4 linked regions of the Pelodiscus sinensis genome follow. The protein of the gene in region 1 purifies or fractionates together with the protein of each later gene. This does not show direct contact. Links are inferred from orthologs where the notes say so. Each region holds a gene or a part of one and is shown in the gene's direction. Other genes may lie near its edges.

Region 1 (7,742 bases):
CACCTATATTAGTCATTAGTACACGAAACTGAGAATGGGAGCCCTGCCACTGTCAGCATGGATAAATGGAAGTTATACTGTACTAATGGGGAACAGCATGTTGCAAACCTAAAAAGTATGAAAAATTGTGGACTGTATGAAGTACAGGTTGGACCTCTCTAGCCTGGAACCCTAGGGACCTGACTGGTGCCAAACCAAAGAATTAGCCAGATCACAGGAGGTAAATATTGTCTAGCAGCATTATCAAAACTTCCACCGCTTACTGGGCTCTTAGAAGATATTTAGGGGTAAATAATAGCACAGAACACTTAGCCAGGACTGGTGGCTGTAAACTTTGAGACTGTGGGAAACTTGATAACACCCATGATAACATCTAGTTAACATGGATGTTGCCGGATCAGAGAGTGCTGGACTAGAGATACTCAACCTGTAAGCTAATTAAAATAAAAATTGCAGTGGAAGCCTAAAATTGTGAAATCCCCAAATCATAAATTAAGTAGATAATAAATTCAGTGTATTTTTGATACCATATACATTACAAATGGAAACTCCCAAGTGCTATTTAGTCAGTTTTTCCATTTTGCCTTTGAGAGTATAGACTGTGACTTGTAACACCTGTAAATATTAATAAGCTCTTCACATTGTAAGAATTCTAATTGAGATATCATGATATCATGAACTGCACATTTAAAAGATAACTGAAACAGCAACTTTATTTCAATAAGAACAAAAAGTCTGTTTATTCTAAATCCCAGTATTTGGGCTCCACATCAACTTAGAAAACCTATACATTTAGAAAAAGACTCCATTACAGTTTTGGAAATTAGAGTGATGGTGGCCAGAGAGGGAAATGTAGTTCTGGTGAACAGAGTTGGATTAATGGTCTGACCAGTCCGTTCCTCTTTTTTATCTGCTAGGAACGGGAGCCTATATAGGAAGATCCCAGGTGGCTGTACCTCTGGCATACACCAGAGATTATCATTACATCTTCATTTACTTCCTCAAAAGAACTTCATTTACTTCCTCCAGGGCTATGTCTACACTCGCGGCTTCTTGCGTGAGAAATATGCAAATGAGGCTGTGTGGAATATCCCCGAGCCTCATTTGCATACCTAATAAGCCACCAATTTTGCAGGAGAGGCTCTTGCACCACAAGGAGCTGTCTACACTGCCCCTTCTTGTGCTAGAAAAACCCTCTTGGCAGCAGTGTGGGGGGAGGCGGAAGCTACCTCTCCCCCCACAAGTAACTGTTGAAACTTTCACCTGTTACATTTTACTTAAATAAACACATTTTAACATCCCTACTGCACTAATAAATTATACCTAGTGTGGGAATATGTTAACAATATCCAGAGAGAGGGTAATGCCCTCCAAGGCAAGAAAATCAATTCTCCTTGCCCTTTGGTGTCAGAATAATAGAAAGAGATCCTAAAAGTTTTCTCCAGCACATCACTGGTATAGAACTGCAAGGTCCAACAGCACCTACTGAACTTATGCTGGAGGTTCACCCTTAACAAAACTCTATGGGTGAAAATTTCAGATACAGTAAACCAGTGGTCTCCAACCTTTTTACCCCCCAAGATCACTTTTTAAATGTCAGAACAAGCCAAGATCTACCGCCCCATCCTTCTCCCAAGACCCCCACCCCTTCCTTAAAGCCCCGCCCTCTCTGTTCTCCTCTCCATCACTTGCTATCCCCAGCCCTTATACACACTCAGGGTATGGCTACACTGCTGCTTTGTTTTTTTAAATTCTTCTGTATGAAGAGGTTTTTCCAACATTTTGCTATCTAGATTGGGCCAAATATCCTTGTGGAATGAGGAATAAAGGGGTTACCGAAAGAGCATGGTTGCTCTTCCACTAAAAAAAGTGGAAGAACAAATGCGTCCCCGGATGCGGAAGAGTTTTTTCCGGGATACCTCTGGAGTCCCAGAAAAACTCCGGCAGTCTAGCTGTACCCTCACTGGGTTGACAGGATGTGTGGGCTCTAGGGTGGGAATGAGGGATTTGGGTGTGGGAAGGGGTGAGACGTGCAAGCTCTGGGAGGTAATTTATATGCAGGAGGAGGTGGAGATGGGGATGCTGGCTCCAGGTTGGGAAGTTTTTGGGTCAGGTGGATGGTTGGGGTACTGAGCTAGCCATAGGCTTGTGGATGTGAGGGTACAGGAGTTTGGGTTGAGGTATGTGAGGGGCTCAGGGCAGGGAGGTTGGGAGTATGATGGCACCAGGACACAGATTTGCAGTGTGTGGATGGTGCAGAAGTGTCGTGGCGGAAGACTGAGGATGTGGGGGTGCAGGAGTTTGGGGATGTGAGAGGCTCAGGACAGGGAGCTCCAGTATATGATAGGCTCAGATCTAGGGTCTGGGGTGGGGTGGAGGTGCAGGAGTGTTATGATGCTGTGGCCAAATGGGGGCTTGGCCACAATTGGAGGGTTGTTGGCCAGGCTTCATTTTTAAATAAAATATTATGTCAAACACAAAAAAGTTTCAGCATTGTCTTTATTTATGAGAAGGGCAGGGAACCTGTTTTGAGTCAGGGATCAGTGACCCACAGAAAAGTCAGTTGGGGCCACAAGTGAGATGCAAAAAAAAAATTCCTCCAAAACCCTCCCCAAGCCTCACTAATATGGCTCCAACTGTGCTGGTGGGAGCAGGGGACATGGTACTGGGGAAAGGTGCTAGTGGGTGCTGAGGCAGAGTGCCAGTGGGGGCAGGGAGTCTGCGACACATGCCTCCCCCTGGGACTCCTATCCCCTCTCCCCCTGCCCGGTGCACCTCCTCTGGGAATGGACTCCTACCCCCCACCCCCCAGAAGAGGAGGGAAGCTCCAGCAGGCGCCTCCTCCCAGGACTCCTCCCCACTCCTACAGAGGAGGAAAGCTCCGGCGCGTGCCTCCTCTGGGGACTCCTCCCCCTCAAAGAGGAGGGAAGCCCCGGCATGCACCTCCTCTGGGGATTTCCCCCCAGCAAGTCCTTGGCACACCACAGACCTGGGTTGTGGTGCCACGCCGGCTGTTTGGGGGAGAGGGAGCAGCCAGCGCACTTCCTGAAATCCTGAAGTGGCGCACAGCTGCTGGACTTCCTTCCACCCCACAGGAAGCCGGAACTACCTCCATTGTTACTAGAGGAAGGTAGTGGGGCTTCTTGGGGGTGGAGTGAAATGGGGGGCCCCCCTGAACGCCTTGTGATCAACTGGTTGAGCCCTCCCAATTGACCAGTCAATTGCGATTGACGGGTTGGTGACCACAGAAGTACGCAGTGCCAGTCTTTGACGAAATGGCACCCCAAACAAGGGATGTCTTTAGTGCCCCTTTCCAATCGTTAAACTTTTTTTTTTTGCATTTGTACCCCACTTCACAACTTCGGAGCATGGGTGGCACGTGTGCTTTATTGGTCATATAAGGTTGACTGGCAATGCCCTGCCCCTTATATACACCCATAAGGGCATGTCTGACAACTTCTAGGAGGTTTGAGGAAAATGCAGTTATCAGAAAGTCTGGAAGGTTAAAACAAGATTCTACAAAAGATCCAGAACATTCTAGGAGGTTAGTAAAAAAAATGAATCCACATACAGAGTACCTGTGTTTAGCATTCTATTTTCCCTTTTGCAACTAACAACAAAAAAAAGCACCCGGCCCCCCTGGAAGTTACCTAGGTCACCTGATTCTAAATTAAGCCCTGACTGTACTTACAAACTTGCTTTTCCTGTATTCCCTGCTGTCTTCAGAAGCTTCTTCTGGGGCCCTGTCATGCAAAATTAAAAATCGTTTGACTGTTAAATTGTTTGGTACTTTATTAATGATGCGAGGGTATCTTAGTAAATAATGGTTTAAAAGGAACAGTGCAGCTAAATAATTAACAAAATACTATTTGGTTAAGTGAGAGAGCATAAAAGGAAGGCATGGAGAAAATGTTTCCCTTGAGCAGAACAGCTAAGTGCTAACCCATGTAAGAATAAATACAGATATGAGAGAGATGGACATACAAATTTGAGTATAAAGGATAATTACTTCGGGAATATATTCAAGCTTTTGTCTACTAAATTACCATTTTCTATTATGCAGATGTGTGTTGTTAAAAAACTCAATTTTCTTTTTAAAATAATCTGATTTAAAACTTTTTTTCATTCACCTTCAACTGTTTCCATATTATTTTTTGCCATTGATGTTCAATATTTTTTCCAGCAGAGATTTAATACAGTGTTATATTATGAGGGCAGCAAAACTTGAAATATCATTTGTAAAACCTATTTGCCGCCACAACTGTTCGTTTGTAATGAAGAACAGAAAGAGCACGCTGTCAGCTCCTCCTCGCGTGCTGGCTGAGACTCCGTAAATTACTAAGTCGAAGGGTTGTTCAGAAAGTTATTCCCGGCAGTCGCTAATTTTGACACTTTCCTCCCGGGGGAGGGGAACAACCCCTGCGTGTCCAGTCGGCACCGTCTCACCCAGGGTCCCTAGACGAGGCTCGAGTCTCTCTCGGGACCGACTTTGCTGTGAGCGTCGCAGGGCCGCGGGCAGCGCCTGGCTCTGCACGGTCCCGGCCTGAGGCGGGCGTTCAGCCGCTCACGGGAGCCGGGGCCACGGCGCGAGCTGCGCCTCAGTTAGACGGAGCCCACGAGGGAGCCGCGCGCGCAGCCGGGGGGAAGCGGAGGGCGGGAGGCCGCGAAGCGCGCGGCAGCTTCTGTGACGCGGAGGGAGGAGGCGGTGCTGGGGGCCCCTGTAGAAGAAGCGGGCGGCGAAGAGCGCGGCAGGGAAACGGCCGCGGCTGAGCGGAGGCGGGTCGAGCCCTGCGGCAGCCCCCTCCCTTCCGCCTGACCAGGCGGGCATGGCCGGCCGGCGCTGCGGCTCCTCGCGGGAGCGGCTGAGTGCAGGTGACGGCGGGGGCGGGGTGACGGCGCGAGGCGTCCCGGCGGCTCGCAGCAGCGCTGAGGTAACGGGGGGCGGGGCCTGGCCGCGGCCCGGCCGGGAGGGGGAGGGCGCACGGGAGGAAGAAGGAAGCCGCCATCTTGGAGCGTCGAATCGCCATAACAAGGCACCAAGCGGGCAAGTGAGCGGTTCCTTAGCGCTGGGAGAGCGGGCAGCCCAGCCGGCGGCGGGGAGCAGGCTCCCGAGGAGCGGCTTTGGGGACAGGGCATGGGGCCGCGCGGGCCTGGGCGGCCGCTTCTTTGGTGAGGCCTGCGGCCTTGCCCCGCACTAGGGGCTGGGCCTGGCCTTGCGGGCGGCCACTCGAGCCCGGAGGCGGCGGGGGGCGCAGTGCGGGGAGGGGTCTGGCGGGTCTCACCCCCCCCGCATGGAGACCGGTGTGTTCGCTGCCCCGGAGGGGCGTGTTACCCAGGGCGCGGGCGATCGCTGCTGCGGGGGGCGGCGCTGCGGTGTGTGCGGGGGTCATGTGGGGGGGAGGCTTGTATCTGGCAGCCTGACCTTGAGGGCGGGGGGGGGCGGCGCTGTTGTATCTTTTAGGGGCCCTGCCCGGGGGGCGGGTTGGGCGTCAGGGGAGCACCGCCCCCGCGGGGTCTGGGGCCCGAGCGGCCGGGGGTGTCTTTTGTTTGCCCGACGGATGGTGCCCGCTGATGTTGCGCAGATACATTTCTAGGGTTTATGGACGTTTGCTGTTAGGCCGGGCGCCCGCCTTTCGGAATCGCCCCCTTTCCTAAGCACTGCAGAAACTGCATCGGACTCACACCAAAGCTTGGTGGTGAAGCGCTGTCAGTCCCGGGCTGAGCCCCATGGCGAAGTGGGAGGGAAGCAATAAATGCTTAAGCTGCTGCGCTCCATTGTTTGGTTCGGAAAACGAGACCTTTTTCTGGTGTGTAGAAGGATGAGACTATGGCTGACATTTCTGAACTGATTGGAGCTTCAGTGAGGGCTTTTATGGTTAGAGGAGATGTAGGTCGGTTCTGGGGCAGCTCACCTCCGCCTACTAATGAGGTCTTTGCTAAGATGCAAGGGAGTAGTTTTTATAAACAACGAAAGAGTGATTCCTGGGATCTCTTAAAAAGTGTCCCCTCCCAGTCTTGTTTTTTCTTGTAGCGTTATGTGCTATCTTTAGGCAAAAATCAAAGCTCCCAGGGAAAAGGAGGATGTTCACTGCAGAAAGGGGAGTGGAAATAATATAGTTAGTGGCAGCGGCTTCCAGAGTCCTGCATACGTGGTCAAAATGAAGAAAGGAAATGCTTAGAAAAGGGGGAGGGGGAATGTTGAGGTTTGCTAGTAAAGAGCACTAATTTTTTAAGCTGTCCCTGAAGTTTTAGGTTTGTTCAGATTTATTAAATATTGTTTTACTCTATAACATAATCTAATGTTTTTCCTGTGAGTGTTAAGGAGTGCAAAGGCATGTTGTCAGGTAAAATAGCATGAAAGTAGGTTATTAAACAGAGCCTTAAAAAATTCAAAATTGAATTTACTTCTTGCTGTAACTCCCTGTTTATATGTTTGCTGCTTCTGGACTAGCTATATGTTTCAATTTTTTTTTTAGTAGTAACATAGAAGGGAAATGTCTAAATCCAAATAGTGTTTCTCTTGACTTCTTAAACATTCTAATACTTAAAGCATTTCATTAAAATGATTTTTGGATGTATAAGTGTCCCTGTAAATTAAAGGTACTTGAAAATGATCTGTGTCAAAATATTTCACCTCAAAAGGTGTGCCATGTAAAATGACTTGACAGATATTGGAGGAGGTATTTAAACATGGTTTTGTGCAGTTAGCAGTACTTCACATACTAATTTTAACGGTTTCCCTTCCATAGTCACTTGCTTTGTCTTTACTGTGAAATACAAGTAAAGGAACTGAGGGCTGATTTAAAAAAAAGACAACTTGGTTGTAAAACAATAGACATTGTCAGACTCAGAAGCAAGTTGTTGTACTTAAAACTACTTAGAATTGCTCTTGAAAGTGACTAGATAATGTCCCTTTAAGGAATGTTAGTATTTGAATTATATAGGTGATTTTTTTTTAACCTTGGTATGGACAAGGTATCAGGTAAACAACTTCTTTATAAGAGTTCAGTGATCAGCTAATGCCACCTTTTGTTTTGCATTTATTTTATACAGTGCAGTTCTTTGTAGTGGTGATACTGTAAGTCAAGCCTGTAAATCCTTTCCCCCTTCCTTGTGAGGGAGGTAGACTTGTTAGTAACAGTTCTAGGGTTACTTCACAGTAACTTATCTTGTAGTTGCACTTCAGTAATTTTCTATGAAGAGTACAAGTCATTGTGTTTAGCAAACAAAATATCAAACCATTATAATACTTTCCCAATATTGTCACTAAATTTTGAAGCTTCAGGGGGTAGCTGAGTTAGTCTGTACAGGGGGAAAAAAACACCAAGAAATGGTCTGTGGTAGCACTTTATAGACTAACAAAACATGTAGATGGTGGTATGAGCTTTCATGGGCACAGTCCACTTCTTCAGTCATCACTTCTCCACCCCGGTCATCTGAAGACGTGGTTTGTGCCCACGAAAGCTCATAATACCATCTACATGTTTTGTTAATCTATAAAATGCTACCAGACCATTTGATGTTTTTTTACTAAATTTTGAATTGGTTTTGTATGTACTTATTTTCTGAGGGCAACAGGCAGGCGTTTTAGTGAGGAAAACTTTTTTGAATTTATCTCAAGGTGTTAGCACAATTAAAACATTAAGAAGGGAGTCTCTAAGACTTGTCAGATTTGCTGTCTCAGATAAGAAAACTGAAGTATTGTAAGTAGTTGTTTACCTTTCTTGAATGAAATAAAACAG
Region 2 (7,976 bases), on another chromosome or scaffold:
AGAACTTCTTGATTCCTGTCCCCTTCATGGACTGAAGAGACACCTTCACCCCAGTGCTCCCGCGCACTGTGCAAGGGAGTGGATAAAAATCTCTCTCCGGTGCCCTTAAAAATCATCACTGCCTACTAACCCATATGCAGGGCTGGATTACCCAATAGGCAGACTAAGCACGTACTTAGGGCACCAGCAAAGCAGGGGCACACAAAAAAAAGAGAGATTTTACGGTATAGTATTATTTTTATTTTGAATTACATTTTGCGGGGGGGGGGGGGGACACCATACTCTTTTCAGTACTTAGGGCCTCTAAAGGTCTTAATCGGGCCCGGTCCATATGCATGTCCTCTCTCTGTACTCCCAACTGCCACGGAATCTTCTGGTGCCAACATTTCCCTCTCTTCACGGGCTAACGAGACAGCCACGCCTCCTGGCCACGAATATATCGCAGTGCCACTACAGACAGTCACATCTGCTCTTCTCATGCAGCGGCAACTGGCTTTTGGTATCACTTGAGTGAAGGGAGGATTGGTATGTGGGTGTTTATTTTGTTGCCAACCAACTGACAATGTTAGACTTGGGGGACAGGCTGTCCTTTGCCTAGTGGAGGCATGGGGGAAGGATACTGGTAGGAGTTTGCCCTAGAATTGGCAGGCAGAGTAGACCTGTCAGGACTTGGAGTGGGGATGGCCTGCCCTAAACAGTTGGAAGAAGGGCAAATATGGCCTAGTTAAAAGGAGCTGGCAGTATCTGGATGGGGTTTTGCAGGGGGAAAGTGAAAGCCAGAACCTTTGCCCATGGATTGTGTGTTTTGTAGGGGGAAGTGTCTCAGAACTGGTCAGGGGATTTGCCCCAGTTTGGTGTGGGGATGATGAATGAAAGTGGGTTTGCCCTTGGATGTTTGAAGTGGGAACGACAGGATGTGTTTATGGCATGGGTAGGGGGGAGCTTTTTTGGGCGAGGTGGTTCTGGGATTGTCAGGATTTTGGTGGGAAGTTGTCCGCTGACTGCAGGGGAAATCAGATGTTGGAAGAGGGTACATTGGCAGGATTTGTGGGGACAGGAGTGGGAATTGACCTCTGTTGTCTGGGAGGGGAGGTGTCAAGATTTGGGATTTGGCCCTGGACTGCTGGGAAAGGGAGGCGTCAGCATTTGGGGGTTGTTGGCAAGCAGTTCTTATAATTTGAGTGGGGTCTAGTCCCTGGATTCTCAGGGAGGCTCAGGATTTGAGTGTAGGTGTTGCCCCTGGATTGGGGGGGGGGGGAGGTGAGTGAGCGAGAGAGAGAGGATTTGAGGTAGGGTTTGCCAGATTTGTTAGGTTTCGGGGTGACTGCACGGATAGGTTACCTAGGATTGTTGGGGAGGGAGAATCCAAAATTTGGGGAGTAGGGTGGTGCTGACATGGGTTTGGGTATGAAGTTACCTCAGATTATTGGAGGAAAGGGTCAGGGTTGGGGGGCTACCCTGATATATATGTGTGTGTGTGTGTGATGTTTGGGGGGTCAAAATGGATTATGGGCAAGGAGGCCTTGCTTGTGGGAGTCCTATATATATGTAAAATTTGAGTGGAAGGGGTTGCCCTGGATTATTAGAGAGAGGGTCCTGATTTGGGGGGGGGCTGCCCAGATGTGGGTTATAGGGTATGAGATTACCCCTGGATTAGTGGAAGGGGTTCAGGAACTGGGAGGTTGCTCAGATGTGTTGGGGTTTAGGTGTGAGGTTACCCCCAGATTATTGGAGGGGTGGGTTATAATTTGGGAGGTGCCCAGATGTGTGGGGGTTTAGGTGTGAGGTTACCCCCAGATTACTGAAGGGGGGTTATAATTTGGGGGGTGCCCAGATGTGTGGGGGTTTAGGTGTGAGGTTACCCTCAGATTACTGGAGGGGGGTTATGATTTGGGGGGTGCCCAGATGTGTGGGGGTTTAGGTGTGAGGTTACCCCCAGATTACTGGAGGGGTGGGTTATGATTTGGGGGTGCCCAGATGTGTGGGGGTTTAGAGGTGAAGCTACCCCCAGATTACTGGAGGGGGTTATGATGTGGGGGTGCCCAGAGGGGTGGGGGTTTAGGTGTGAGGTTACCCCCAGATTACTGGAGGGGGGTTATGATTTGGGGGGTGCCCAGATGTGTGGGGGTTTAGGTGTGAGGTTACCCCCAGATTACTGGAGGGGTGGGTTATGATTTGGGGGTGCCCAGATGTGTGGGGGTTTAGAGGTGAAGCTACCCCCAGATTACTGGAGGGGGTTATGATATGGGGGTGCCCAGAGGGGTGGGGGCTTAGGTGTGAGGTTACCCCCAGATTACTGGAGGGGGGTTATGATTTGGGGGGTGCCCAGATGTGTGGGGGTTTAGGTGTGAGGTTACCCCCAGATTACTGGAGGGGTGGGTTATGATTTGGGGGTGCCCAGATGTGTGGGGGTTTAGAGGTGAAGTTACCCCCAGATTATTGGAGGGGGTTATGATGTGGGGGTGCCCAGAGGGGTGGGGGTTTAGGTGTGCTACCCCCAGATTACTGGAGGGGGTTATGATGTGGGGGTGCCCAGAGGGGTGGGGGTTTAGGTGTGCTACCCCCAGATTACTGGAGGGGGTTATGATGTGGGGGTGCCCAGAGGGGTGGGGGTTTAGGTGTGTTACCCCCAGATTACTGAAGGGGGGTTATGATTTTGGAGGTGCCCAGATGTATGGGGGTTTAGGTGTGCTACCCCCAGATTACTGGAGGGGGTTATGATGTGGGGGTGCCCAGAGGGGTGGGGGTTTAGGTGTGCTACCCCCAGATTACTGGAGGGGGGTTATGATGTGGGGGTGCCCAGAGGGGTGGGGGTTTAGGTGTGTTACCCCCAGATTACTGAAGGGGGGTTATGATTTTGGAGGTGCCCAGATGTATGGGGGTTTAGGTGTGCTACCCCCAGATTACTGGAGGGGGGTTATGATGTGGGGGTGCCCAGAGGGGTGGGGGTTTAGGTGTGTTACCCCCAGATTACTGGAGGGGGGTTATGATGTGGGGGTGCCCAGAGGGGTGGGGGTTTAGGTGTGTTACCCCCAGATTACTGGAGGGGGTTATGATGTGGGGGTGCCCAGAGGGGTGGGGGTTTAGGTGTGTTACCCCCAGATTACTGGAGGGGGGTTATGATGTGGGGGTGCCCAGAGGGGTGGGGGTTTAGGTGTGAGGTTACCCCCAGATTACTGGAGGGGGTTATGATGTGGGGGTGCCCAGAGGGGTGGGGGTTTAGGTGTGAGGTTACCCCCAGATTACTGGAGGGGGTTATGATGTGGGGGTGCCCAGAGGGGTGGGGGTTTAGGTGTGAGGTTACCCCCAGATTACTGGAGGGGGGTTATGATGTGGGGGTGCCCAGAGGGGTGGGGGTTTAGGTGTGTTACCCCCAGATTACTGGAGGGGGGTTATGATGTGGGGGTGCCCAGAGGGGTGGGGGTTTAGGGGTGAAGCTACCCCCAGATTACTGGAGGGGGGTTATGATGTGGGGGGTGCCCAGAGGGGTGGGGGTTTAGGTGTGTTACCCCCAGATTACTGGAGGGGGTTATGATGTGGGGGTGCCCAGAGGGGTGGGGGTTTAGGTGTGTTACCCCCAGATTACTGGAGGGGGGTTATGATGTGGGGGTGCCCAGAGGGGTGGGGGTTTAGGTGTGTTACCCCCAGATTACTGGAGGGGGTTATGATGTGGGGGTGCCCAGAGGGGTGGGGGTTTAGGTGTGTTACCCCCAGATTACTGGAGGGGGTTATGATGTGGGGGTGCCCAGAGGGGTGGGGGTTTAGGTGTGTTACCCCCAGATTACTGGAGGGGGGTTATGATGTGGGGGTGCCCAGAGGGGTGGGGGTTTAGGAGTGTTACCCCCAGATTACTGGAGGGGGTTATGATGTGGGGGTGCCCAGAGGGGTGGGGGTTTAGGTGTGTTACCCCCAGATTACTGGAGGGGGGTTATGATGTGGGGGTGCCCAGAGGGGTGGGGGTTTAGGTGTGTTACCCCCAGATTACTGGAGGGGGGTTATGATGTGGGGGTGCCCAGAGGGGTGGGGGTTTAGGGGCGAGGTTGCCCCCGGATCGCTGCAGGGGGTGCGCGCTGTGGGGGGCGGGGCGGCTCCTCCCCGCCAGGGGTCGCTGCAGCGGGCGGCCGGTCCCTGCGGCGCGGCGGCGGGTCGCTCCCCGCCGGCCCGTGTCCTCTCCGCGGCACGGCGGCCCTTTCACCCCGGGGAGGCTATAAAGGGGCGCCCCGGGCCGGGGGCCGCCTCTCGCCGCCAGGGCCGCGCGTGAGTCGGGCCCGCCCCGCCCGCCACAAAAACCCAAAAAAATCGCAAAAGCCCCGGAAACTCCCGCCAAGCGCCCCCCCCGGTCCGTCTGTCCGACCCCCCCTCGGTCCGTCCGTCTGTCTGTCTGACCCCCCCCCCCCTCGGTCCGTCCGTCTGTCTGTCTGACCCCCCCCCCCGGGTCCGTCCGTCTGACCCCCCCTCGGTCCGTCTGTCCGTCCGTCCGACCCCCCCCCTCGGTCCGTCCGTCTGTCTGTCTGACCCCCCCCCCCCTCGGTCCGTCCGTCTGTCTGTCTGACCCCCCCCCCTGGGTCCGTCCGTCTGACCCCCCCTCGGTCCGTCTGTCTGTCCGTCTGACCCCCCCCCCTCGGTCCGTCTGCCCCCCCCCCCCCCGCCTGTCTGTCCGCCTGCAGGCCCGGTGCTGTCCGTGTGTCCGTCCGACCCCCCCCCCCAGTCCGTGGGTCTGTCCTTCGGCTCCCCCCCCCCCGTCCGGTCCTTGGGCCCGCCCGTCTCTTCCCCCCCCCCCCCCCCCCACGGTCCGTGGGTCTGTCCAGGCCCCACGTTTCTGCCCCCGGCCCGGCTGCCCCTGGGGCCCCGCGCGGCGCTCCCCCCCCCCCCCCGTCTGTCTGTCTGTCTGTCTGCGCCCTCCTCAGGCTCCACGTGGGCCTCTGTCTCCCCCGTCGGTGCCTGCCTGCGCCACGGCGTGTCGTCCCCCCCCCCCCCTCCCCCCCCCCGGTCTCTCCTCGTCCGAGCAGCCGGGCTCTGCCTGATAGAAACAGCAGCGGGTCTCGTTTTCCTTTAAAAAAAGCTCTAACCCTAGTGCGAAGTTTGTCTTATTCCTCCCCCTCCTCCCCCCAAAAAAAGTTTTTACCTAAGGAAATAACACCGCGGTCTCAGGCCTTGGGTCTGGAGGCTTTGGAAGAAGAAATAATAATAATAATAATAATCTTTTTAAAAATAACTTTTTTTAACTGACCTGTTTTGCTTTTGGAAATTGAGGCAAGGTGGCAAAAACGCCACAGGCCGTGGAGGAGGAGGCTTTGGGTTTGTTTTTTGTTTGTTGGGTTTGGGCACCTTCCGTGTGGAAGTCTCACGTTTTTTGACTATTTCCCGGCACTTTCCCGTCCTGCTGCTTTCCCCTCTCCTCTCCCAGGGCCTCAGATAATCCAACACCCATTCTCCAATAATTCTGGCTCCCCTCCCAAATCCTCACGAGCTTTTCTTGCACTGAACTCCAATCTGCTTCTTTGACTTTCCAGACCCCTTAGAGTACCCTACTTTTCACCTGACTTCCCAGTGGCCTGGACTTCCTTCTGTGACTTAGTTTTTTCTGCCCTGAGGGTGATCCTCCCTCCCCCCTTCCCACCTGGTTTTCCCACTTTAACGTCTGCTAGTCCTAAATTAGTGATTTTTGTTATTTACCTGTTTAGTTTCTAAAACTTTTGCTTGTTTAAAAAAATTTAAAAAAAAATAAAATAGTTTCTGGTGGGAGTGCGTGCTGGGTGGAAGATGAATACAGCTGCTAGTAGCTACCCAATGGCATCATTGTATGTTGGCGATCTGCACCCTGATGTCACAGAGGCCATGTTATATGAGAAGTTCAGCCCTGCTGGGCCTGTACTCTCCATCCGAGTCTGCCGGGATATGATCACCCGTCGCTCCCTGGGATATGCCTATGTCAACTTCCAGCAGCCAGCTGATGGTAAGTTGGACACACATGCCCATGCCTCTTCCTTTTTTCTATACAGTTCTGCTGCTTTTTATAAATCCCCATCCAGTCACCTAGCTGTGAATTACAGTGGCGGGGTAAGAACTTCATGACAGCTCTGATTTGCTCCTCATTATGAAAGTAGAATGATTTTAACTACTTCACATCTTCAGAAGCCTTTTCAAACATTAAATAATCTTCACAGCACCTCTATGAAGCAGAGAAGTGATATTTCTCTTGGCCAAAATCAGCTTCCTGGGACTCACTTTTTCTGACTCAGAGGGGGTCTCTGTGTTTGTAACTTTAAAAATAAGGAGTAGTCCTGTAGCACTTTAGAGAGTAAGGATGTTAGAGTGTAACTGAGGAATGGTTTAGCCCATACTCTGATGCCTGTCAGTTAATGGTGTCAGTTACATTCAGGCACCCAGAGAGGTGGCGTCACTGTGGTGGGACAGTGATGCCTCCTCTCTGGGAGGTGGGTGGGCAGGGGCTGCCAGCTCTGCTCTCGTGGAGAGGAGGGGGGAGGCTTTGCTGTGGGTTCCCCTTGTGGGGGAGGACTTCCTGTAGTGTGTAACCGCTGAGATGTTCAACAGTTGCATGGTTACCTGTTTAACTGAATTTTAACATCCCTACTTTAAGCTTCATGCCTGGCTCTTTAGCCAGTCAGTCACTAAAGGAAGGTAAAGCCTAATCAGCATCTGGCCCGATCTGAGTCTGAATAACTGTAAAGGAGTCTTCCTACTCTCACCTGGAGACTTGAGGGTGTGTGCAATGGGCTGAGGATTGTAATGGCCAGAGATGTATCTACACTGTTATAAAACCCATGGGATCAAGATTCAGAGCCTGGATCCACAGACTGGAGTTCACGCTGCAGCGCTATGAACAACATTGTAGCTACTTAGGCGCAGGCCCTGAAGCCTTCCTTCCCTCCGTGCCGGAGTCCAAACATCTATGCTGCTGGTTTTACTGTTGTAGCACGAGAGCCCCTGTGTGTAGACCCCAGCTCTGAGATGCCTTCTCACAGATTTTAAAATGCAGTGTAGACTTGCGCTGGGGAAACAGCCAGGTGGCTGATCTAGTTTGCAGTTGGTTATGAAGTGGAAACACATGGACTGATGCTTTTTCTACCTTTTTTAAAAAAAGGAATACACACCCATCTCACTTGAAGCCTTAATGAGTGACATACAAAATTCATGGTGCCTTGCTTGGTTTAGCTGAAACAAAAAACAGGACTATGTAGCACTTTAAAGACTAACAAGATGGTTTATTAGGTGATGAGCTTTCGTGGGCCAGACCCACTTCTTCAGGTTTAGATGCTGTTCAGGTAGGTGTCCTTGGCCCGCAGCAGCAGATATTTGAGAAGGATGGGGCAGAGGAGATCAATTTTTAGTATGTCCTTATCCAGAGGAAAAGCTGGGTCAGCATTTTCTGTCCTAGTTCCCACAGTCTTGTATTAGACAGGGCTAAGTGTTGCCTGGTGCTGTGAGTTAGCAGCATCTTTACATGAGGTAAATTGCTAGAGGGGTTACATTTGCTGTAAAAAGGAGTGACTATTTAACTTTAATCCAGAAATAATTTGCAACAACACAAACTTCAGCTACATGTAAACTCTACTCATAGAATCTACTTTAGATTCAAGTTTAAGAATACAAATTGTAGTCTCATCAGTACACAAAGGAATATGTGGTCCTTGAATTTTGAGTTTTCTAATCTGTAGTAAATATTAGTTACTACTAAATTGATTCAGAGGGGGGTAGCTGAGTTAGTCTTTAAGATGTTACTAGAAGATTCGTTGTTTAAGTTTTTCCAGTTACAGATGAACAAAACATGTAGATGGTATCATGAGCTTCAGATGAAGAAGTGGGTTGTGCCCACGAAAGCTCATGATACCGTCTACGTGTTTTGTTCGTCTCCACGGTGTTGCCAGACTGTTTTTTAAATTTGTACATAATTGATGTATTCTTCTAAACCTATTCAGAAGCAGAACCTACTGGGCTGAATTCTTGTCTGGAAT
Region 3 (7,013 bases), on another chromosome or scaffold:
AAGAAAGCAAAGGGCCACATGCTGCAACCACCTGGAATGAATTAAGCTGGGGCTAGAAAGGCCTGGCTGCACTGCCACAGGAGCAAGCTACTGCTGCTAGAGACAGACGGTGCTTGTGAAATGCTCAGGGCCATTAGGGAAGCTACAAAGGAAGAACACTCAATAATAGTGGGGGACTTCAAAGAGCCTCACCCTGACTTGGCATGTGCCACCACAGGAAAGGGTGCACCAGTCACATTGCTAGACCCCATAGATGACTGCTTGTGGGGCAGTGTGTGCTACAACCCCCAAGGGGCAAGGTCATTCTTGATTTAATCCTATATGCATAGGCTCTGGTCCAAGAGAATACAGCTGAACTGCCCTAATGTAATTACATGAAACATCCCGGGGACTCAGCAAACGGTCAGAGAAATGCACCACGGTAGCATTTACCTAGACAAAGACGCCGGGACTGCTTACATGTAAGCTAACAGCAACAGTCACAAGGGTGAAATGCTTGTATAGAAAAGGGCTTTTTGAGAACACCTTGAGAGGCTCAAAGAAAATATCTACCCCCAACAAAAGCAAGTAAGAAGACAAACACAATGCCAGCATGGCTAAACAGAGAACAGGAGGCAGTTCGATTTTTAAAAAATAATTCTTGAAAAACTGATTGTCAAATCCTGAGAAAAATAGAAAGGAGCATAAAAGCTGATAAGTCAAGTGTAATTGGTCAGCCCCAGAAAGAATCTGAAGAGCAACTAGCAAAGGACACAACCTAACCACAACAAGGCTGTGTCTACACTGGGCCACTTATTCCAGAAAATCAGCTGCTTTTCCGGAATAAGCTGCGAGCTGTCTACACTGGCCCTTGAATTTCCAGAAAAGCAACGACGCTCTACTGTACAAAATCAGCCGCTTTTCCGGAAAAACTATTCTGCTCCCGCTCGGGCATAAGTCCTTATTCCGGAACACTGTTCCGGAAAAGGGCCAGTGTAGACAGCCCAGTAGTCTTTTCCGGAAAAAAGCCCCGATCGCGAAAATGGTGATCGGGGCTCTTTTCCGGAAAAGCGTATCTACATTGGCCACAGACGCTTTTCCAGAAAAAGGGCTTTTCCGGAAAAGCAGCCTGCCAACGTAGATGCTCCTTTTCCTGAAAAACTGAAAACGGAATAGTATTCCGTTTTAAGCATTTCCGGAAATTCATGCCAGTGTAGACACAGCCCAACTGTTTTAAGCACATCAGGAGCATATTCCATAGAATCGCTATGGATAGTAATTCCCTGCTCTACTAAGAATATAACAGTAGGGATTTATTATCGACCACCTGACCAGGACAGTAATAGTGAGTATGAAATGCTAAGGGAGATTAGAGAGGCTAAGGAACTCAATAATAGTGGGGGATTTCAACTATCCCCATATTGACTGAGTACATGTCACCTCAGGACGAAATGCAGAGACAAAATTTCTTGATACCTTAAATGACTGCTTCTTGGAGCAGCTGGTACAGGAACCTACAAGGGGAGAGGCAATTCTTGATTTAGTCCTGAGTGGCGCGCAGGATCTGGTCCAAGAGGTAACTAAAACAGGACCGCTTGGAAATAGTGACCATCATATAATAACATTTAACATTCCTGTGGTGGGAAGGACACCTCAACAGCCCAACACTATGGCATTTCATTTAAAAAAGGGGAACTATGCAAAAATGAGGAGGTTAGTTAAACAGAAATTAAAAGGTACAGTGACTAAAGTAAAATCCCTGCAAGCTGCATGGACTCTTTTCAAAGCCACCATAATAGAGGCCCAACTTAAATGTATACCCCAAATTAAAAACCAGTAAAAAAACTAAAAAAGAGCCACTGATGCTTAACAACCATGTAAAAGAAGCAGTGAGAGATAAAAAGACATCATCTTTTAAAAAGTGGAGTCAAATCCTAGTTAGGTAAATAGAAAGGCGCATAAACACTGCCAAATTAAGTGTAAAAATGTAATAAGAAAAGCCAAAAAGGAGTTTTAAGAACAGCCAGCCAAAAGCTCCAAAGGTAATAAAATGTTTTAAGTACATCAGAAGAGGAAGCCGGCTAAACAACCACTGGGGCCCCTGGACGGTCGAGATACAAAAGGAGCACTTAAAGACGATAAAGTCATTGTGGACAAACGAAATGAATTCTTTGCTTCAGTCTTCATGGCTGAGGACGTTAGGGAGATTCCCAAACCTGACCCGTCCTTTGTAGGTGACAAATCTGAGGACTTGTCCCAGATTGAAGTGTCATTAGAGGAGGTTTTGGAACTAATTGATAAACTTAACAGTAACAAGTCACCAGGACCAGATGGCATTCACCCAAGACCTCAAATGTGAAATTGCATAACTATTAACTAGGGTTTGTAACCTGTCCTTTAAATCAGCTTCTGTACCCAATGACTGGAAGATAGCTAATGTAACGCCAATATTTGAAAAGGGCTCTAGAGGTGATCCCGGCAATTACAGACAAGTAAGTCTAACGTCAGTACCAGGCAAATTAGTTGAAACAATAGCAAAGAATAAAATGGTCAGACACATAGAAGAACATAATTTGTTGGGCAAAAGTCAACATGGTTTCTATAAAGGGAAATCATGTCTTACTAATCTATTAGAGTTCTTTGGAGGGGTCAACAAACGTGGACAAGAGGGAGCCAGTAGATATTGTATACTTAGATTTCCAGAAAGCCTTTGACAAGGTCCCTCACCAAAGGGCCATACATAAATTAAGTTGTCATGGGATAAGAGGGAAGAACCTTTCATGGACTGAGAACTGGTTAAAAGACAGGAAACAAAGGGTAGGAATAAATGGTACATTTTCAGAATGGAGAGGGGTAACTAGTGGTATCCCCCAAGGGTCAGTCCTAGGACCAATCCTATTCAACTTATATCTGGAGAAAGGGGTAAACAGTGAGGTGGCAAAGTTTGCAGACGACACTAAACTGCTCAGGGTAGTTAAGACCAAAGCAGACTGTGAAGAACTTCAGAAAGATCTCACCAAACTAAGTGACTGAGCAACAAAATGGCAAATGAAATTTAATGTGGATAAATGTAAAGTGTAATGCACATTGGAAAAAATAACCCCAACTATACATATAATATGATGGGGGCTAATTTAGCTACAATGAATCAGGAAAGAGATCTTAGAGTCATCGTGGATAGTTCTCTGAAGATGTCCACGCAGTGTGCAGTGGCAGTCAAAAAACCAAACAGGATGTTAGGAATCGTTAAAAAAGGGAGAGAGAATAAGATGGAGAATATCTTATTACCCTCATATAAATCCATGGTGCACCCACATCTTGAATACTGCGTACAGATGTGATCTCATCTCAAAAATATATACTGGCATTAGAAAGGATCAGAGAAGGGCAACTAAAATGATGAGGGATTTGGAACGGGTCCCATATGAGGAGAGATTAAAGAGACTGGGACTTTTCAGCTTGGAAAAGAGGAGACGAAGGGGGGATATGAGAGAGATCTATAAAATCATGAGTGGTGTGGAGAAAGTGAATAAGGAAAAGCTATTGACTTGTTCCCATAATATAAGAACTAGGGGCCACCAAATGAAACTAATGAGCAGCAGGTTTAAAGTAAATACAAGGCAGTTCTTCTTCACACAGCGCAGAGTCAATCTGTGGAACTCCTCGCCTGAGGAGGCTGCGAAGGCAGGACTAGAACCGGGTTTAAAAGAGAACTAGATACATTCAGGAGGTTAGGTCCATAATGGCTGTTAGCCAGGCTGGGTGAGGGGTGGTGCCCCCAGCCCTGTGTCAGAGGGGGAGATGGATGCAGGAGAGAGGTCGCTTGATCATCCCCTGTTCGGTTCACCCCCCGGGGCACCTGGCGCTGGCCCTGCGGGCAGACAGGGAGCTGGGCCGGAGGGGGCAGGCGGGCGGCGGGGCTCGGGGAGCAGCCAGCGAGCTGGCACCAGCGCTCGGTGCAGACGCAGGGCGGGTCCCGCTGTTTCTAGGCGCCCGAGGAGCAGCCCAGGCGAGGCGCCGGGCCCGGGGACAGCGCAGAGACAGCAGCTCCGCGGGTGAGGGGAGCCCGCGCGGCCCGGGCTGCAGCGACACCCGGGGGGGGCCGGGCCCGCCGCGCGAAGCGGCCCCACAGCCCCGCCCCTCGACCCGGGCTCGGCGCTCGGCGCGCTCCGGGGAGCGGGCTCTGCCGGGGCCCCGTGACCCCCACGCGCCTGCGCGGCCCGGCCGATGCGCTCACTTCCGTCCCGGCCTGGCAGCGGCGAGCGGCGCCGGGAGCGGCCGGGCCCAGGTGAGCGTCGCCGGGACCCCCGACCGGGCCTGGGCGGCCTGGTGCCGCGTCGCCATGGCAACGGCCCCGCCCCCCCCCGCGGGCCGCAGCCCCCCCCGACGGTTGCCCCCCCGCGGCCCCGCCCCTCCCTGCGGGCCGCTCGGTCCCCGCCAGGCCCTGCCCCGGCGTCGCCATGGCAACGGGCCCGGCGCTGGGATACAGCTCTGCCCCCCCCCCCCCCCCCCCACGATGGGGCCGGAGCCCCAGGAACAGCAGCAGCCCCCCCCCCCCCTCAGCCGCCCTGGTACCGTCCTGACCCGCCCCCCCCCTCAGCCGCCCTGGTCCCGTCCTGACCCTCCCCCCCCCTCAGCCGCCCTGGTCCCGTCCTGACCCGCCCCCCCCCTCAGCCGCCCTGGTCCCGTCCTGACCCTCCCCCCCCCTCAGCCGCCCTGGTCCCGTCCTGACCCTCCCCCCCCCTCAGCCGCCCTGGTCCCGTCCTGACCCTCCCCCCCCCTCAGCCGCCCTGGTCCCGTCCTGACCCTCCTCCCCCCCTCAGCTGCCCTGGTACCGTCCTGACCCTCCCCCCCTCTCAGCCACCCTGGTACCGTCCTGACCCTCCCCCCCCTCAGCCGCCCTGGTACCGTCCTGACCCGACCCCCCCAGCAGCGCTGGTACCGTCCTGACCCTCCCCCCCCCTCAGCCGCCCTGGTCCCGTCCTGACCCTCCCCCCCCTCAGCCGCCCTGGTCCCGTCCTGACCCGCCCCCCCCCTCAGCAGCCCTGGTCCCGTCCTGACCCTCCCCCCCCCCCTCAGCCGCCCTGGTACCGTCCTGACCCGCCCCCCCCTCAGCAGCCCTGGTACCGTCCTGACCCTCCCCCCCCCAGCCGCCCTGGTACCGTCCTGACCCGCCCCCCCCCAGCAGCCCAGGTACCGTCCTGACCCTCCCCCCCCCCCAGCCGCCCTGGTCCCGTCCTGACCCGCCCCCCCCCCCAGCAGCCCAGGTACCGTCCTGACCCCCCCTCCCTCAGCCGCCCTGGTACCGTCCTGACCCTCCCCCCCCCTCAGCCGCCCTGGTACCGTCCTGACCCGCCCCCCCCTCAGCAGCCCTGGTACCGTCCTGACCCTCCCCCCCCCCCAGCCGCCCTGGTACCGTCCTGACCCGCCCCCCCCCAGCAGCCCAGGTACCGTCCTGACCCTCCCCCCCCCAGCAGCCGCCCTGGTCCCGTCCTGACCCTCCCCCCCCCAGCCGCCCTGGTCCCGTCCTGACCCGCCCCCCCCCCCAGCAGCCCAGGTACCGTCCTGACCCCCCCTCCCTCAGCCGCCCTGGTACCGTCCTGACCCGCCCCCCCAGCAGCCGCCCTGGTACCGTCCTGACCCTCCCCCCTCCCCCAGCCGCCCTGGTACCGTCCTGACCCTCCCCCCCCCCCAGCCACCCTGGTACCGTCCTGACCCTCCCCCCCCCCAGCAGCCGCCCTGGTACCGTCCTTACCCTCCCCCCCCTCCCAGCCGCCCTGGTACCGTCCTGACCCGCCCCCCCCCCCTCAGCAGCCCAGGTACCGTCCTGACCCGTCCCCCCCTCCCCAGCCGCCCTGGTACCGTCCTGACCCGCCCCCCCCTCAGCCGCCCTGGTACCGTCTTGACCCGCCCCCCCAGCAGCCCTGGCACTGCCCTTGGGCCCTGGTACTGCCCCGCTGGGGGGGTTACTGCTCTCAGCCGTCCCCTCACACAGTGACCGGGAGCGGGCTGCGCGTGCCAGAGTCGTGCCTGCCTGACCTGGTCTGTGGGCACCTCTGGGTGCAGCTCCCCAGCAGGCACCACCCCGCCCCACAGCAGCACAGGTTTTGCCGCCCTCCCCCCCATTTCCTATGCAATGGCCTGCAGGGATGGAACGGTCCTGAGCAGCGGCCGTTGACCAGCAGCCCAGCGGGTTTGGGAGCCAGGAAGCTGATCCGGGGCTTCGTCCCAACCTGCCCTTTGTTCGGTCCCCTCCTTGGCAGACTCCAGCATCACCTTGGACGAGGCTCCCCCTCTCAGGGTGACCCCAGGTTTGCTGCCTCTCAAGGCCTGTGGCACATACACTGTCAGCCAAGGGTGAAGCCTTCTCCCAGTATAGGTATACTGGGGCAGGGCTACCTTGTCTGGGCATGGCTTGTTCCCTTTGGTGGGTGGGGATAGCGACCCTGGCTGTACCCTCGTTTGCACCAGTATAACTGTGCCCACATGAGGGGGTTGTACGACATCAGCGCACTGGTGGCATTAGCCCCACACCCTGAGCACTGATGGGTTAAAGTAGCACGAGCTCCCATCCGAAATCCTTCTCCTTCCTTTCTGGAGGGGCGCCGCAGCTGCTGGGGTGGGAATGCAGCCACTCTGACTCTCGCAAGGCCTTGCTGCTGTGCTTGGGATGCCTGCTTGGGGTGCCTGCATGGCTAGCGGGGCTGCAGACACAGTGGCTTCCACCCACGCTCAGCCCCCTTTCACTTTCTGTTCCAGCTTCCATCTCCTGTCTGCCAAGGGGCTGCGCTGCCGAAGGCAGGCCTAGAGGGGGCTGAGCAAGGAAGCAGCCATGACCAGGTGAGACACTTTTCCACAGGCCCTGTAGATGAGTGGGGGAGGGGAGAGGCATGGACTCCCTTTTAAGGGGGATACCCTGGGGCTGGGCACAGCATGAACAGTACTAGCTTTACTGTTAGCCGGGGGCTAGAAAAAACGGCTATTAGCCAGGGGATAGAAATGGTGTCCCTGGCCTCGGTTTGTCAGAGGCTGGA
Region 4 (7,870 bases), on another chromosome or scaffold:
CCAGCTGCGCCTCCCAGCACCTCCCACTGTGCCTCCAGCTGTGCCTCCCAGCACCTCCCACTGTGCATCCAGCTGTGCCTCCCAACATCTCCCACTGTGCATCCAGCTACGCCTCCCAGCACCTCCCACTGTGCATCCAGCTGTGCCTCCCAACATCTCCCACTGTGCATCCAGCTACGCCTCCCAACATCTCCCACTGTGCATCCAGCTACGCCTCCCAACATCTCCCACTGTGCATCCAGCTACGCCTCCCAGCACCTCCCACTGTGCATCCAGCTGTGCCTCCCAGCACCTCCCACTGTGCCCCCAGCTGCGCCTCCCAGCACCTCCCACTGTGCCTCCCAACATCTCCCACTGTGCGTCCAGCTGTGCCTCCCAACATCTCCCACTGTGCCTCCAGCTGTGCCTCCCAACATCTCCCACTGTGCCTCCAGCTGTGCCTCCCAGCACCTCCCGCTGTGCATCCAGCTGTGCCTCCCAGCACCTCCCACTGTGCCCCCAGCTGCGCCTCCCAGCACCTCCCACTGTGCCTCCCAACATCTCCCACTGTGCGTCCAGCTGTGCCTCCCAACATCTCCCACTGTGCCTCCAGCTGTGCCTCCCAGCATCTCCCACTGTGCCTCCCAACATCTCCCACTGTGCCCCCAGCTGCGCCTCCCAGCACCTCCCACTGTGCCTCCCAACATCTCCCACTGTGTGTCCAGCTGTGCCTCCCAACATCTCCCACTGTGCCTCCAGCTGTGCCTCCCAGCATCTCCCACTGTGCCTCCCAACATCTCCCACTGTGCGTCCAGCTGTGCCTCCCAACATCTCCCACTGTGCCTCCAGCTGCGCCTCCCAGCACCTCCCACTGTGCCTCCAGCTGCGCCTCCCAGCACCTCCCACTGTGCCTCCCAGCATCTCCCACTACACCTCCCACACAAGGTCTCGTGGGAGACCAAGGCCGGAGCACGTACTCGTGTGCTGTCCGTGATGCTGGCTAGCTGAGAGAGGACGTGGCTTCCCCTTTGGCCCGCCCAGCCTGGCTAGGGATGTGGGCCACTTTGTTCCACACACCACCACCCCTTCTCAGGAGCAGTGGCTAGGCCAGGTCATGCCTAAAGCTGGATGTCCTGCGAGGCAAGGGCAGGCCTCATTGTCTGGTCAAGGCTGAACTGGAAACAGCCTTTTGACTGGGTCTGGCCTGGGGCGTGTGGGGACCTTGTGTGCCCTTGGGAGCCTTTTCCAGCAGTGGGACAGGGGAGACATCATCTAGTGCTTAGAACAAGGAGTGTGGGAGTTTAGGAGAACTGTTTCCCAGCTCTGCCACTGATTCCACTGTGTGACCTTGGGCAACTCACTATGCCTTAGTTTCCCCATATCTAAAATAAGGATTCGGCTCACCTTTAAAAAGGGAAGAGTAGGGTATTATGGCTGCTAATCTCTGCCTCCTCTCAGGAGTTTGGAGCACTAATACTGGCTCTGCTAGTTGTTACTCCAGCTTGGACTGAATTTCACTGGTGGTTTCTAGTCTTCCTGCAGGCGCTAGCAGCAGAATCCTGCTGTGTAAACACAGAATGGTAAAGTCCTTCTTTGGATTATTTCGCTCAGCTGGGAGCTGGAAGGAACCTGGTGTTTACCATGCACTTTTCCACTAGGCCCTTGGCCTGGAAAAGGAAGCAACTCCCCCAGGTTAACTGTGCAGTGCATGCAAACCGACTGCCTTTTCTAAGCCGGCTGGCTGAGGGCAGGAAACGCTCTGTGTGTGGACACAGGCTGCTTTCACCTCCTGCGTGCCTGTGCCGTGGGCCAGTGAATGACGGCCGTCTCCAGGCGGGCCAGAAACCTGCGACCCTTCCCTGCAAATACCATGGAAGAGGCCCTGGGCTCTGCAGTGGGTTGACCCCAGATGGTACGTTGGCTTGGCTGTGACCTGATCCGAACGTGGCCCCTTCCCAGTGTCACACAGCCCAGAAGTAGGGTGCCATGGGGACCCGCTGATCCCTTTGTTCTTCCCATGAGCGTTGGGGGAAGCCCAGTGGCTCTCCACGGGATGCGGGGGGCTTGCAGTACATGTGCTGCCTCCCAGAATATATTTGTGTTCGGGGTCTTGTGCTCCCCTGCACCCCTCACGTGGAGGCACCCTGTGGGCTGTATCGTGCACGGCCCCACATAAGGTTTATTACTGAGAGCTGACATTTTAGATGAATGCAGAAAAACGGCAGAAAGAAATAGATAAACATGCACATACATAAACCCGCTGGGGGCTGGATTTTTTGTGACTGTCCCCTATTTACATTCTGTCTCTCAAACATCTGGCCAACCCAGCAGAGACGGTCTCCCATTCCAGGGTAGGGATGTTAAATTTTGATTAATTAACTAATCAAATCTTCAATGGGGTTTCCATAAACGATTTGATTAGTCGATAAGAACTTCCGCTTTCCGCCTTTGAAATGCACAAGAGCCCCAGCAGGCTTTTAAGCTGGCTCCCCCCGGCCTCTCCTCCTTTTCTCCCTCCTTGCTGCCTTTTTGGCTAGGTCTACACCAGGGGTCTCCTACCTTTTTAAGCACAAGATCACTTTTTCAATTTCAGTGCAATGTAAGATCTACCTCAAACCGAATACCCCGGCCCCACTTCCTTCCCGCCCCTTCTCCAAGGTCCTGACCCTGCTCACTCGGTCCTCCCTTCCACATTCTCCCTCCCTTTCATCAGGAAGGGGCAGAGGGTTGAGGCTCTGGTCTTGGGCTAAGGGATTTGGAGTGTGAGGGGGGCTCTGAGCTGAGCCTGGGGCAGGGAGTTGGGGTGTCAGAGGGGGGAGTGTTCAGGGTACAAGCTCCATAAAGGAATTTGGGTCTGGGGGCTCAGGCAGGCATTTGGGGTGCAGGAGGGGGGTTCATGACTGGGGCATGGGTTTGGAGCAGGCTCCAGATAGACACTGCTCACCTCAGGTGGCTCCTGGGTGGTGGAGCAATGGGAATGGGGCAGGATCACCCCTGCCTTGGCCCTGCACCACTCTCAAAAGCAGCCAGAAAACTCCCCCCATTCCAAGCCCTGTTGTGTCCCCACCTTTTCTGTGGAGATAGACTATAGGGTGGAAGATGGGGCATCCTGACATCTGCCCCCCTCCTCTGCTTTCCCTGCCCTGCCCAGGCAGCAGGAGGGAGAGTGGGGGCACAGCTCCACGGCAAAGGGCAGGAGATGTGCAGCAGCGTGGGGAGGAGCAGCTGAAGAGCTGGCACTTGACAGCCTCTTGGCCAAACCCGTCAGGATCCCCCGTCAGAGGCTCCAAGATCTACTGGTAGATCCTGATCAACTGCTTGGTGACCACTGGCCTTTTTTCAGAAAAAGCTACGCAAATTGCACTCCACAATTGTGTGGCTTTTTCGGATTGCTTTTCCAGAAGAGGCTTTTCTGCCATTTGGCCCTGTCAGACGGAAAGGCCTCCTCTTTCGGAGAGCCCTCATTTCTTGTAGCACGAGGTCCATGGGGCTCCCCGAAAGAGCATGTCCAGGAAACGCGTTTGCTCTTCAGCTTTTTCTTGCGGAAGAGCAAACGTGCTCTTTCGGGGAGCCCTGTGTACCCACAATGCCTCGGCGCTCCCGGCACCTCCTCTCTGGGGGCTAGAAACGCCGACACCCCATACCCGTCTGTCCCAGCCAGCTCGTCCCCGGGTGTCTTTCGATGCTCGGCCCACCTGTGAGACGTCTCGTTGTGGAGCGTGTTCCCAGTGGAGGCCATGTTCAAAGGATCCCACCCGCAGGCCGCGTGTTGAGCCCCACGTAAACCCAAACCGCACCACGTGTTGAGTAGCCCTGGCCTAGTCGACCAGAGTCTCGACTGTCAGATAACCCTTTGCTGATTGCACCGTCGACTGGTCGCTTGCATCCCTATTCCAGGAGACCCCTCCAGAAACGGGAGTGAGGTGTCCTGTGTGTAACCTGCACTGCTGGGCACCTGTCCTGGTGCTGCCCTTTCTCCGTCCCAGGAGAGACTTACGGAGCCCCGAGGAACCGGCTGTTTAACCCTTGGGGGGCTGAGAGGCCACTCTGCTGACAGTGGGGCCTTGCGAGCACGTGTTGGCTCCTGCGGCTGGATTAGTGCAGCGGGCTGGACGACGCCAAAAGAACTGCAGGGAAACGGGAAGGGGACCACCGGGGTGGGCAGCTGTCCTGATTGGAATCCTCGCGGGGGGGAGGGGGGCACCTGGATTCTCCTTGGGGAAATCCTGTGTCCTCCCCGCTGAACCGCTCGGGCCCTGGCACGCAGCACAGACACGTCCTATCAAAAGCAGCCGCTGGTTTTGGGGTGGGGGCTGGGGGGCACAGGGCTGATCCCAGCCCCCAACTGACCTGTGCAACTTGCAACACACCAAGGCGCTGGGTCAGAGACAAGCCCCCGGCACGTCACAACCTGCAGGCGCTGACCCGAGGACACTTTGTGGCCAGCCCTGACAAGGGACCTCCCGGCCCACATCCAGGGCACATCCCCAGCGGTCCAGCCTGGGCCTGGGCCTGCCTTGCAGACACCTTGGGGGTGGCAGGTTTCTGTGCCGGCGGCTATTGTTGACCAATTTCCCGCCTAGGGAGCTACAAGGTTAAGGGGTTAACCCCTCCCTAGCGGGGGAGGCTTCCCGGGCAGGGGCTGCTCTGGCCCGGGGGTCGCCACAGGCCGGCTCGCTCCAGCTGGCTGTCGCTGCCGGGCGCTTGCCGTGTCTCCCCAGGCCCGGCCGGGCGCTGTGGTCCTGCCCCACGGGGCCGAGCCGAGATCGTAGCGGTTACCTGCCTTCCTGGCCCGGCACACGCCGAGGGAGCAGGGGGCGGGCGGCCCGACTCCCCGCCCCGGGAGCCCGCGGCGCTGCGGGCCGGGCAGGAGGCGGAGGCGCCGTCTGCGCCTTTAAGAGGCTCGGGGGGCGTGTTGCAGCCGCGCCGCTGCTCCCGGGGCCCGGAGCGGGGAGGCGCCGCTGCCCCCAGCCAGAGGCGCGGGCGGCTCGCGGAGTTTTGCAACAGGCGGCGGGGCCGGTCGGTCGGTCGGTCGGGGCCGGGCTGCAGCCCTGCCAGGCGCAGCTGGAGCCGCGGGCGCATGATGTACACGCTCGCCAAGGGACCTAGCAAGCTCGCCACGCAGAGGCGGACAGGTGGGGCCGGCTGCTTCTCGGGCGGGGGGCTGCGCCCCGGTTCTTGCCCTGCGGGGCCCGCGCCCCCCGGCTCTGCGCCTGGGGCCCCCGGCTCGGCTGCGCGCCCTGGCGGCTGCGGGGCGCCGGGGAGAGGGGGCGCCGCAGCCTGACCCGCTCTGTGCCCGCAGGTCCCACGCAGCAGGTGGAGAACAAGGCGGCGGAGCTGAAGGGCCGGCAGCCGCCGCCCAGCGCCTGGTCCCCCTCGAGGTGAGCGGTCGTGGGCCGGGGCACCGGGCCCCCCGCGCGCCCGGCTCCGGCTCCAGCCCGGGGACCCGGCGGCGGGGGAGGGGTGACCTTGGGCAGAGGTTACCCGGCTTGTCCTTGCCACATGGCTCGGGAGCAGGCGGAGGGGCGGGGAAGGGGGTGGAGGCCAACAGGAGACTCAACCCCGGACCCGATCGCTGCCTCGCCGGGCGGGCAGAGGGACCCAGGCAGGACAGGGAGCCGGGGCCGGGTGCTGGAGCCGGGGGGTGGGGCAGGGGTCATGGAGCACATGGGGTGGGGGAGGGGCAGTGCACGGAGCTGGGGGGCGGGGCAGGGGCCTGGAGCACGTGGGGGGCAGTGCACGGATCTGGGGGGGGGACAGGGCCTGTAGCACGTGGGGGGCAGTGCACGGATCTGGGGGGGGGGACAGGGCCTGTAGCACGTGGGGGGCAGTGCACGGATCTGGGGGCGAGTTAGAGTATTTGGGGTGACTGCATAGAGCTGGGGGGCCTGGAGGAGAGGGACTGAGCTGGGGGGGGGAGGACCTGATGGGCCAAGGGGTGCCAGCCAGCCAGGGCCATTCTAGGGGAGAGGGACACAGGGCTGGGGCAAACCTCCCATGCCTGGGCCATTGGGGGGCAAACTTCTCCTTCCCCTGCTGCAGACCCTCCCCCACGCCGCTCCCCAAGACCTGCCCCTCCCCCCTTACCATGCAGGGGGTGGGGTGCCCTGCTCCCTGCCAACGCAGGCTGGAGAGGGCAGCACAGCGGGTGTGGGGAGCAGGTTGCTCCGGCTCCTGCCCTGTTTGGGGTGACCCCTGCTGCTACCACTGCACCAGGACTCCCTAATGCCCTGGTCTCTAGGCCACAGGCTGGCTGAGGCCACTGCTGCAGGGCCCCCAAAGCATAGGGCCTGGGGCGGCGGGATGGCTCTGCAGCCACATCAGGCACACTGGCAGCCAGAGGCCCCCACCCCCACCACCGCCCAGAATTAGCCTTTGCCCCAGTGTACAGGCGCACGCGCTCCCCGGGGCGGGAGGGGCAGGGTGTGCCAAAGTACAGGCAGGGATGCCCGAAGGTGAGCCAGCTGCTCAGGGGGCATCTGCTGAACCCAGTGTCTCCTGCTGCCCTGGCCCGGGGAAGGAGCCATGGGCCCCAAACGTCTGGCCCCTGCCGCGCCAAACCCCCACGGGGCTATTGGGGCCTGGAGGTGGGCAGTCAGGGCCCTGAACAGCCCCGTGTTTCTGTGTCCGCGCGAGCCTGGGATCTTGGCCCCAGGAGATCAGTGGCAGAGCCAGCGCGCACAGGGCGGGAGCTGTGGGGCCGGCTCCGCTCGGGGGGGCAGCAGCGTGGCCTTTGCGGTGCACCACCCAGGGCAATTCACGGGAACGAAGTGGCTGTGACCTTGCGAAAGGCCCGCGCCCCCCCCCCCCCCCCCCCCCGGCAGAGCTCCCATTGACTTACCTGGGGCTAGTGTCACCCAGGGCTCAATCCCAGGCTGCGGGGGGGGCTCTTCCCAAACTTCTGTGCTCTCCAGTGTGTGTGTGTGGGAGGAACAAATACTGTTTGTGGCCTGGTTCAGATGAGCCACTACAGGCTCAGGTTCCCCCCCCCGGCCTGTTCTTTCCCAGATAGCACAGCCTGACACTAAGGAATTGCACCCGGCGGTGGGCCTGCTGATAAGGAGGCCTCCAGCCCTCGGACGTGCAGTAGCCAAGGCAGGGGTATTGGAGGGGCGCTAGGACAGCCCCTGGCCCACCCAGGCCCCTGCCTGCAGTAGGAAGGGTTGCGTTTCCCAGCCCGGTGGGAGAAGGGGGGGGGAGATCAGAGCAGCCTGTGGCACTAAGACCCCATAGCTAGAAAGCCAGGCTGGATCTGGTGCAGGGGCCGGAGGGCTGAAGCCACGGTCCCTGCCCACGTCCTGACCTGCCCGCTGTCCACTCCAGGAGCATAGCGAAGGGCAAAGTGGAATCCCGCCCTCACCATGTCATCAGATCCACCTGGCTAGAGCCACGTGCAGCTCCGTGGATGTCAGCTGGGCTGGCAGGGCTGCTTTGCGCCCCCTGCTGGCTCACTCATGTGCATTCATGTATGCCACGCTGCACGTGTCTAGAGCCCTGCCTGGATACAACATCTGTATCCCCAAAAGCAAGTGGCGGACCAGCTCTAACATCTGCGTGGACCCGTGGACAGCTGCAGACTGGAGGGTTCTGGATACAAAATGTGTCTCCACATTCATTTCTGCAAAAACTGAGCTGGGGGTAGCAGTAGAGGGGTAGGGCTCTACCCCGAACCCTACCAGGCAGGAAATGACCAGCAGGAAATGGTGCCTACAGCTGGGATGAAAGTTTGTTTAGAGCTTCCCAGCCTGTTTGCTGCGTGGCCTCCCTGTCACCGGTCGGACCCCTCCCCCGAGCCCCTTCTTCCCAGGCCCTTCCAGCAGGGACTCCCCCCTCCGATCACTCAAAAGTCCATGCAGCAAAACGCACTAAGACAGCCCTTTGCGGCTGAGCG

What was found.
Region 2: the proteins of DDX6 (region 1) and PABPC4 purify together in Homo sapiens (affinity purification with mass spectrometry; 3 studies listed by BioGRID and IntAct, with this or other methods). This does not show direct contact. The link is inferred for Pelodiscus sinensis from reciprocal best matches to the Homo sapiens genes DDX6 and PABPC4.
Region 3: the proteins of DDX6 (region 1) and MCRIP1 purify together in Homo sapiens (affinity purification with mass spectrometry; 3 studies listed by BioGRID and IntAct, with this or other methods). This does not show direct contact. The link is inferred for Pelodiscus sinensis from reciprocal best matches to the Homo sapiens genes DDX6 and MCRIP1.
Region 4: the proteins of DDX6 (region 1) and MCRIP2 purify together in Homo sapiens (co-immunoprecipitation; 5 studies listed by BioGRID and IntAct, with this or other methods). This does not show direct contact. The link is inferred for Pelodiscus sinensis from reciprocal best matches to the Homo sapiens genes DDX6 and MCRIP2.

Annotation. Positions count from the first base shown.
Region 1 is NC_134736.1:596,841-604,582, forward strand, and holds the start of DDX6 (putative ATP-dependent RNA helicase DDX6), read left to right. Parts: upstream 1-4,732; 5' UTR 4,733-4,872; exon of another isoform or gene 4,873-4,931; intron 4,932-4,945; exon of another isoform or gene 4,946-5,169; intron 5,170-5,661; exon of another isoform or gene 5,662-5,807; intron 5,808-7,742.
Region 2 is NC_134735.1:2,618,762-2,626,737, forward strand, and holds the start of PABPC4 (polyadenylate-binding protein 4), read left to right. Parts: upstream 1-4,970; 5' UTR 4,971-5,763; coding exon 5,764-5,956; intron 5,957-7,976.
Region 3 is NC_134730.1:29,673,014-29,680,026, reverse strand, and holds the start of MCRIP1 (mapk-regulated corepressor-interacting protein 1), read left to right. Parts: upstream 1-3,999; 5' UTR 4,000-4,034; intron 4,035-4,114; exon of another isoform or gene 4,115-4,267; intron 4,268-6,126; exon of another isoform or gene 6,127-6,290; intron 6,291-6,738; 5' UTR 6,739-6,811; coding exon 6,812-6,819; intron 6,820-7,013. UniProt on the Homo sapiens protein: The phosphorylation status of MCRIP1 functions as a molecular switch to regulate epithelial-mesenchymal transition. Unphosphorylated MCRIP1 binds to and inhibits the transcriptional corepressor CTBP(s).
Region 4 is NC_134726.1:2,083,963-2,091,832, reverse strand, and holds the start of MCRIP2 (MAPK regulated corepressor interacting protein 2), read left to right. Parts: upstream 1-4,866; 5' UTR 4,867-5,059; coding exon 5,060-5,114; intron 5,115-5,281; coding exon 5,282-5,360; intron 5,361-7,870.